Oryzias latipes: one gene and its partner. The protein of the gene in region 2 purifies or fractionates together with the protein of the main gene of each other region. This does not show direct contact. Links are inferred from orthologs where the notes say so. Each region holds a gene or a part of one and is shown on either strand. Other genes may lie near its edges.

Region 1 (4,060 bases), on a different chromosome or scaffold from region 2:
GTTTCTGACAAACCCCATGCTGCTGTGCCCCCTTAACTACCAATGCCACAGGCAAACATCCATTTCAACAGGTTTTAAAGAGTTTTTATTTATTTATTTTAGATTTGATGATCATTTTACAGTCTCTGCGTTTTTCTGCACTGTTAAGACACAAAATTATGAAATCTATACCTTTGTTTTACTATTGGTTAAACAGCCATGTCATTTTGGGTCCACGTGCCAAACATCCTTTTGTTCAGTCCCTCCACAGCGAGCCACACACACACACACACACTCACAGGCTAGGCTTTCCAGCTAAAAGTGTCTGGTAAACAAAACGGAGCTCCCTTGCGTCTGCTGGCATCAGCAGTTTGGCTTGCAGTTGTACTTCACCACCCGTGTGCTCAGAAAATTTGTGTAATTGTTGTTCAACACATGAACCTCTGAAAGGTTCAAAATGAAAATCTTGCTGTTTAAAAAAAAAAAAACACATTCAGAAATATCCAAGGGTGAAAATGTTAATGGTGTTGAATAACTAGTTATTGTTGCCATTTGTGTTTGTAGTATCACAGAGCAGGCATATTTTGGCCTGCTCAGAGTGAGGTTCTATATTTAGAAAAGGGTCCTGAGAGGTATGTGCTGGAGTATGGGTACACCATTCTTTGCTATTGATGGGGAAGACTTCCAACATGAGGATAAAACATAATATTTCAACAAAACAATGAAAAAGCTCAAAATATTCCTTCTCTACACTTTGAACTTTGCCCCACATTTACACCCTTCTACCGTGTCCACATCAACAGCAAAACAGTGGGGCATTTCACACCTGTCAGTTATGGTGTTGTAATCCATTACTTGGTATTTGGTCAACCGCCTTCATCAGAGACAGCTGCTCTCACAGGTGTTTTTGTTGATAAAACAGGAGAAACATTCACAGTGTGTAGACAGTATAACTAGGACCTTAGAAAGACCAATGCAACACACGCTACCGCTGCTAAGAGCGCCCCTATTTATTCCAAAGGCAACAAAGCAACAAAAACAAAAGCAATTTGCTTTGCACCAACTGTTGCATATGTTAAAGCTGTTTAGGTAACAATAGATACAAATAAGTTGTCTGTCCACCCACAAGGTCACTGTATAGTTATGTTGTCCACCTTTTGACATACCCCTTTCACCGAGTCGCACAGGTGGTTTGGCGGAGAATTTTATGCCGAATGCCCTTTTTCACACAACCGTGTATTATATCCAGGCTGAAGACTGGCACAGGGGGAACCAAACTTGGACCCTGTTGTGGCTACATGGTAGTGCGAAAGGTCTTTCCCAAGAACCCACAGTGGATGAAGCACGTGAGAAACAAACCCTAACCTCCCATGCGCTGGTCCTATACACAACCAACTGAGCTATCCAGCCATTTAGTTAAAACAGCAAAAAAAATAGGAGTACAAATCAACTCAGATCAATGTAAATAGGAATTCTTGATGGTTTTAGCATTCCTAGCAATGGATGACATCTAACTAGATAAAAAAGGAAAGTCAAAATATTTACTACTGAAAAATGTTTAAAAAAATAAATGTGTGAACTAGTTAAACAAGTTTTGGACAAGTCATCTAGTAGTAGACAAAAAAGCCAAACTATTTACCAAAAAGAGAAGAAAAAACTGTGGTGTTACGCATTAAGTAATAATACAACTTTGATTACATACTAGTTATTGGGTAAGACATATCAGTCAACCGCTAGTTTATTGGTACTACAGAACTAGTAGTCATTTTTTCTTGTACTAGTTGACTACTGTGGCCTAGTAGTAACCTTTGTGTGTCCCTAGTTGACTATGAATGCCCAAACTGATGCAATTAGCTTGAAGGTGTTCATTTTTAACATAATTATATCACTTGTTATTTTGACTCATGGGATCAGCAGCAGAGATTTTAAAAACAGCGTGTTCTCAACAATGATTTACTGCAGTAATGGCTTTCCATATAATTGATCAATAATTACAAACACAGACTTTAAAGCACATAATGGTTTCAAATGCATGAATTCCTTTAAAATACCAATAAAATGTAGTGAACTGAACTGCAGAGACTTTGCATCGCCATAGCATAGGTGGTGTGTGAAGAACTGGGAAGTGGATATAATAGGTATAATGAATGACTGTCTCAAATAAAGAAGACAGAATTCAATGGAAGCGCAAAGCTTTATAAAATTCATTTTCATTAGTCATGATGATCCCCACGTGGGTGAGCTCATCCCCCCCCCCCCCACCCCCCAGGGGTTCCTTACCGTCAGCGGGCTGGGAGAAGTTGACATAGGCGTATCCGAGGGACCGCCGGGTGATCATGTCTCTGCATACCCGAATGGAGAGCACCGGTCCGGCGGGGCTGAATTTCTCATACAGCATAGCCTCCGTGATGTCAGGGTGCAGGTCACCAACGTAGAGAGAAGCCATCGGATAACTCCCGGTCGCTGTGTTCATTTCCCAAACTTCCAAAAAGAAAAGAAAATCTGCCAAAGCCGAAAAAAACTGCAATCCGGTTTGAATGCGGGTCAAGACGCGCTCGGTGCGGACAGATCTCTGAGTGAGAAACCCAAAAAATGTACCAAAAAAAATCCTCCTTCGGTTAAACCCCGAGGCCTCTTGTTTATATTTTTAATTAATATTTTGCTATTTTTTTAAAAGTTTAAATTTCAATATTATTGTACTCGTTTTTATAATGTTTTATAGCTTTTATTGTTTTTATATTGTTTTTATTTTAAGTTTTTTTTTTCCCGATAACAGTGAGTTAAACACTCACGGTTGATTTGTGGCCGGGGAAAGAGAGTGTGTCGGGGAAGCGTGGGCACTTTATAGAGGGTAGCGGCGTGGACGAAACAGTGACCAGGGTCAAATTTAGGAGAGGGGGCGGAGGGGGGCGGGGGGCGAGCACGCGGCGTGTAAAAGAGAGAGCGCACTGTCCTGCCCCAACCACAGAGCTGCCCTCCCCACAGCGACACCTGCATGATAACTGAGGGGCAGGACACAGCTCCAAAGGAGAAAAAGCACTGGAAAAACTCAACAAAAAAGGGAAATAAGGTCTGTTTTTGGAATGTCAATCCTTTTGGGAAAAAATCTGGGAAAAGGGAATAAAAGCTCTTAAAGTATGGGTCCACATTCCACACATATGGTACATATATTTGAAAAATTAACCCTGTAGTAATCCTGTAATGTATTTAATGATGTCATGCAATTTGTTATTTTGTGCAATTAATTAACCCGCTATTAACTAATTAATCTATTTTTAATCACAATTATTCGTATCCTTTTAATTGCTGTGAAAAGCCTCATTATTGAGTATTTTCATTTAAATTTCTGAGATTGTATCGCATTAATAGATCAAAATACAACAAAAAAAGTGACTTTATAAAGTTTTGAAGCAGATTTCCAACCTTTACTTTTACACAAAGGGAATTTTCTTCTTGAAAAATAAAGAAAACAAAAACAAATGATTATGTCCAGAAGACTCTATTTAACACATCAAAAACAAGAACACTTTTCTGAGCAATCCAGAAAATATTGAACACAAACTTTTCATTGATACCATATTTGACGTACATTATTCCACAGTTTATACACTAGTAAGATGGTAAAAAAGACACAAGTGATTATATATTCTGTTTGGTGAATTGGATCATTTTGAAGACTGGAATCCAGTAGAAGAGAAATAGAGAACAGAACACTAGGAGGAAATGAAACACTGAGGTAACACCGGACGAACTGAACTATTTTGATTTTGGACTTTGTTTCTTTGAAACAAACTTTTGCTTTATCATCTGGTTAAAAACAAGCGCCAAGTGGTGAACTTTCCCTCCAAAATTATGCTTTGTTTAACTTCTCACAATGATCACTTTCCTCAGAGAGGAAAAAATATAACGGGACAAGTTCTACAAAAATTTTTTTTTCATAAATGACCTTGGTATAGGATAATGCTCTTTGAGTTGTGCATGTCATACATGAACAAACTTCACGGAAGCACTGACGCGAAAATGAGATTAAAAAATGTGCTCAAATGTTTCATTAAATGAACACAACTAACATGATAATTTA
Region 2 (3,514 bases):
TGTATGAGACATGGCTGATTGGATGATGATACCAGTATCAGTTAATGCCATTTAACTTTCAATTTAAATGATGGACAAACGTCACCATCCAATCAGTGATGTCCCATCGTCTCTACCCTCTCCAGTTTCTTATGCTGTTTCATTTTTAACATTTCATTTGGATTTCTGGAAATTACTTTTGCTTTTTTTTTTCACGTTTTGGTGTCTGGAACTTAGCTTTGTCTTTTTAAATGTATTGTTGTTTTTTAAAAATTTGTTTTGCCGTTCTGATCTTTGAAATGTTTTTCGCACTTCTGGGCCACCATAGTATTCTGTTGGAGATGAAAAGCCAGTCTGCTCATTCAGATCCGCAATCAGGGATCAATCACCACCTTCTACCAGCTCATCTGTTTGAGGAAGAGGAGCGTGAACCTGAGTTCACGCTCCTCTTATGGAGTTCATGTAAATATTTCGAGCAATAATGACATTGAACTTCCAAGGACGCAAAGTCCATGTTTTTTCTCTAATAACACGAACACCAAATATGTCAAAACTTTCAGAACGTTTGTCTCCAACTGAGGAAAAGTCTGAGCCGCTGCGCCGTCTTCCTCAGAAACGGGTCTGAGCGCCGACAACAGAATGGAGAACCGATTCCCTCTGCTGAATCCATGAATCCTTCACAGTTCATTTTTCCAACCATTAAAGCTTTTAGTGTCTCAGTTGAGCTGGAGCTTCTCTCAGACTGTCCCATCAGGACAATCCCTGCCATTTCATACAGCAAGCACCACAACACTCACATGAAGTCCCATCTACTCCAAACTGTAGTGTGGGACCATCTAGTGCCCTGGATTTTAACCAGCCATTTTGACACCTTCTTCACTTCTTTTTTTTTTTTTTTTTTTTAAAGCAAACTTTGACGTCACCGATTTCCTGAAGCAAAAACCTAAAAAATGTGAACACTTTACTAAAACTATCATGTTCTGATGATGAAAACTAAATGATACTTTTTTTTTCTTCACAAAAATTGTTCAAACGCAATGCATTGTGGTCTATATTCACCAATTTGGTGAGTATTGATGATCAATGGCTTTTTGCAGAGACTTCTGGGAAATTTCTAGGGTATTGTTTATTGGAATTGTAAGTTTGAACAAAATGGTGAACGCACTATAAAGTAGTGAAGGAATCAAGACACAACCAGCAAGAGTCTATGAACTTTACATTTTGAATGTTTCGAATTAAACTTTTCTGCGTAGGTTCAGCATCAAGAGATGAGACTCATGAGGAGGAACCGAAGTGTTTGCATTTCTGACTGTTTTGTGTGTTTACCATTAGCAATTGGTTTTTACTAGGGGTGTAGGAAAAATCGATTTGGCGATATATCGCGATATTTCATTTGGCGATACTTATATCGGATTTAAAATGGTGTTAAGAAACTGTTTATTTTAATTTATGAGGCTTCCTTCAGTGTCTGACTTGTCACCCGACACCGAGTCTCTCTGAGCAGCTCTACGCCGCACCACAGCAACTAGATCTCAACCAGAACCAGCTTGTGTTAAACATTCAGTCAGCCTTTGTTGTCATGAGACATGTACTACCTACAGAACCGTATCGGTTAAGGCACTTTTTCTTACACTGAAAAATATTTTGTCGTGTCAATCGGACAGTGTTGAATGTTGCCTTTAAGGAGAAATATATCTTCTTAATTTACCAAAATAAAAGCACTGTGAATTGGCTTTGGTAAAAGAAACTCGTAAAGGAGAAACAGTTGCAGTGCTTAATGTTTTGATCATTACATAAAATGAATTTGACCACGTTATGACAATGACAGGCCTGTTAATATTCAGGTAGTCATACTTTTTTTTAAAAAAATATTTAGAAACTGTTCCGGTACAGTCTATGGATGTATCGCGATACACATCACATCCCTAGACTCTTACCAAAAAAACAGGACAAGCTTAGATTCAGGTCAAGATTAAATGAAACTTGCTGATTAATCATTCAAATTTTAGTTTTTGTTAATAAACTGGTTACAAAACCGTATTGTTATACAGCTAGTGACTTCAACTGAAGGTGGAACACTGACTAATAAAATGATAAATTCTTACATTAAAACTTAAAGATAAATAGTTGTATCTGAAAACATAAACAATAAAAGAAAAACTTTGAAAGAAAGAAATAGATTTAATGAAGTGATCTAGCACTTTCCAATTGGATAAATCAGTTATTTAACTGAACCCTAAACACCTAAGGTGTTTCCACCCCTAGAGACCTTCTCCACTCAAACACACAGCTGTAGGTGAAGCTACAAATGTAGCCTGGAAGGTGAACAGAAAGTTTCCCATGACGGTTAAGATCGATTGAAAGCCGAACCTTTCTTCTTTGGGCCGTTTTTCTGAGACGCGTCTGCGTTCTTCTCCTCTCCCGAATCGTCCGACTTGGCCTTCAGGTTCTCCTTGCTCTCCTCGTTGCTCTCCCTCTTCTCCTTGGAGTCCTTCTTGGCGTTGGTCTTTTTAGGACCCTACAGAGGAAAGGCGTCTATTAGCGACCATGTCAGACCAGAAAACACCTGAAGTTTGTCATTACAGCTTTGGTGAGTTTCTGTAAACAAAGCAGATGCTCTGACGTTAGTTCAGCAGAAGAAGGATTCCACAAAAACGCTTCAACTCAGGACATGCAGCATTCCTTTCTCCCAAACTGAGCTGTCGTCCAATCAGAAACTTCAACGAGCTGGACTCTGACAGGAACCAGGCTCAGATATTCAAGTTACACATTATTAAACTGATGTTATTAAAAAATGTACTTTAATAATCTCTATAAGGAGTAGCATGGATCGTTTTACTGAAATGTTCGCTAACAATACACGTCTCTTTTGGGACTAATAAAGTTTACTGAACTGAATGTTACTATTGGCTCAAATTCCATCAAAGGCTGTAAAAACATACATTTTCAGCAGTTTCAGCACCAAACCTAAACGTATTTCCACACGTCCTCTTCTAATTTGTATTCTATTTTGAATTCGGTAAATGAAAAACTGTTTTAAATTTCATTTCAGCATTTTCAGGATATTAAAAATTTCATCCTTCTGTTTAATCCTAGCGTGTGAACTACTGTTTTATCATTTTCCCAGCTTTATGAATATTTATTTGAACTTGCTGGAGACGGGCGTCGCTGCAGCGGTGAACGGCTGACTGAGAGACCTGAAGGGCAGGAGGGAGGCCGCCACGTCTCATCTGAGTGACACAGAAGGCCGACCTGCCTGAAAACAGCCATTAGAGCCGGCCTGAGGTGAGGAGGTGTGCTGGTTGGGCCATGGACACGGTCAGCTGGAAGGTCCAGCCAGACTGACAAGGCTGAGTGAAGGACAAAACCAAAATATGACCAAAACACCAGTTTGGAAGAAGAAACCAGAAACTCTCAGACTAAAGAAGTCCAGAGTAGACTTGACTGAACAAATAAAAGCGCAGATAATAACCCAGCATTAAATATCTTAAAATACCGGTTATATCTACTGCATCACCGAGTTAAAGGTTAGTTT

Evidence for each region. The genes of interacting proteins can lie anywhere in the genome.
Region 1: the proteins of larp1 (region 2) and pabpc4 purify together in Homo sapiens (affinity purification with mass spectrometry; 3 studies listed by BioGRID and IntAct, with this or other methods). This does not show direct contact. The link is inferred for Oryzias latipes from reciprocal best matches to the Homo sapiens genes LARP1 and PABPC4.

Annotation. Positions count from the first base shown.
Region 1 is NC_019880.2:16,809,053-16,813,112, forward strand, and holds the start of pabpc4 (polyadenylate-binding protein 4), read right to left. Parts: upstream 2,806-4,060; 5' UTR 2,453-2,805; coding exon 2,260-2,452; intron 1-2,259.
Region 2 is NC_019872.2:3,462,411-3,465,924, reverse strand, and holds part of larp1 (la-related protein 1), read right to left. Parts: intron 2,498-3,514; coding exon 2,350-2,497; intron 1-2,349. UniProt on the Homo sapiens protein: RNA-binding protein that regulates the translation of specific target mRNA species downstream of the mTORC1 complex, in function of growth signals and nutrient availability.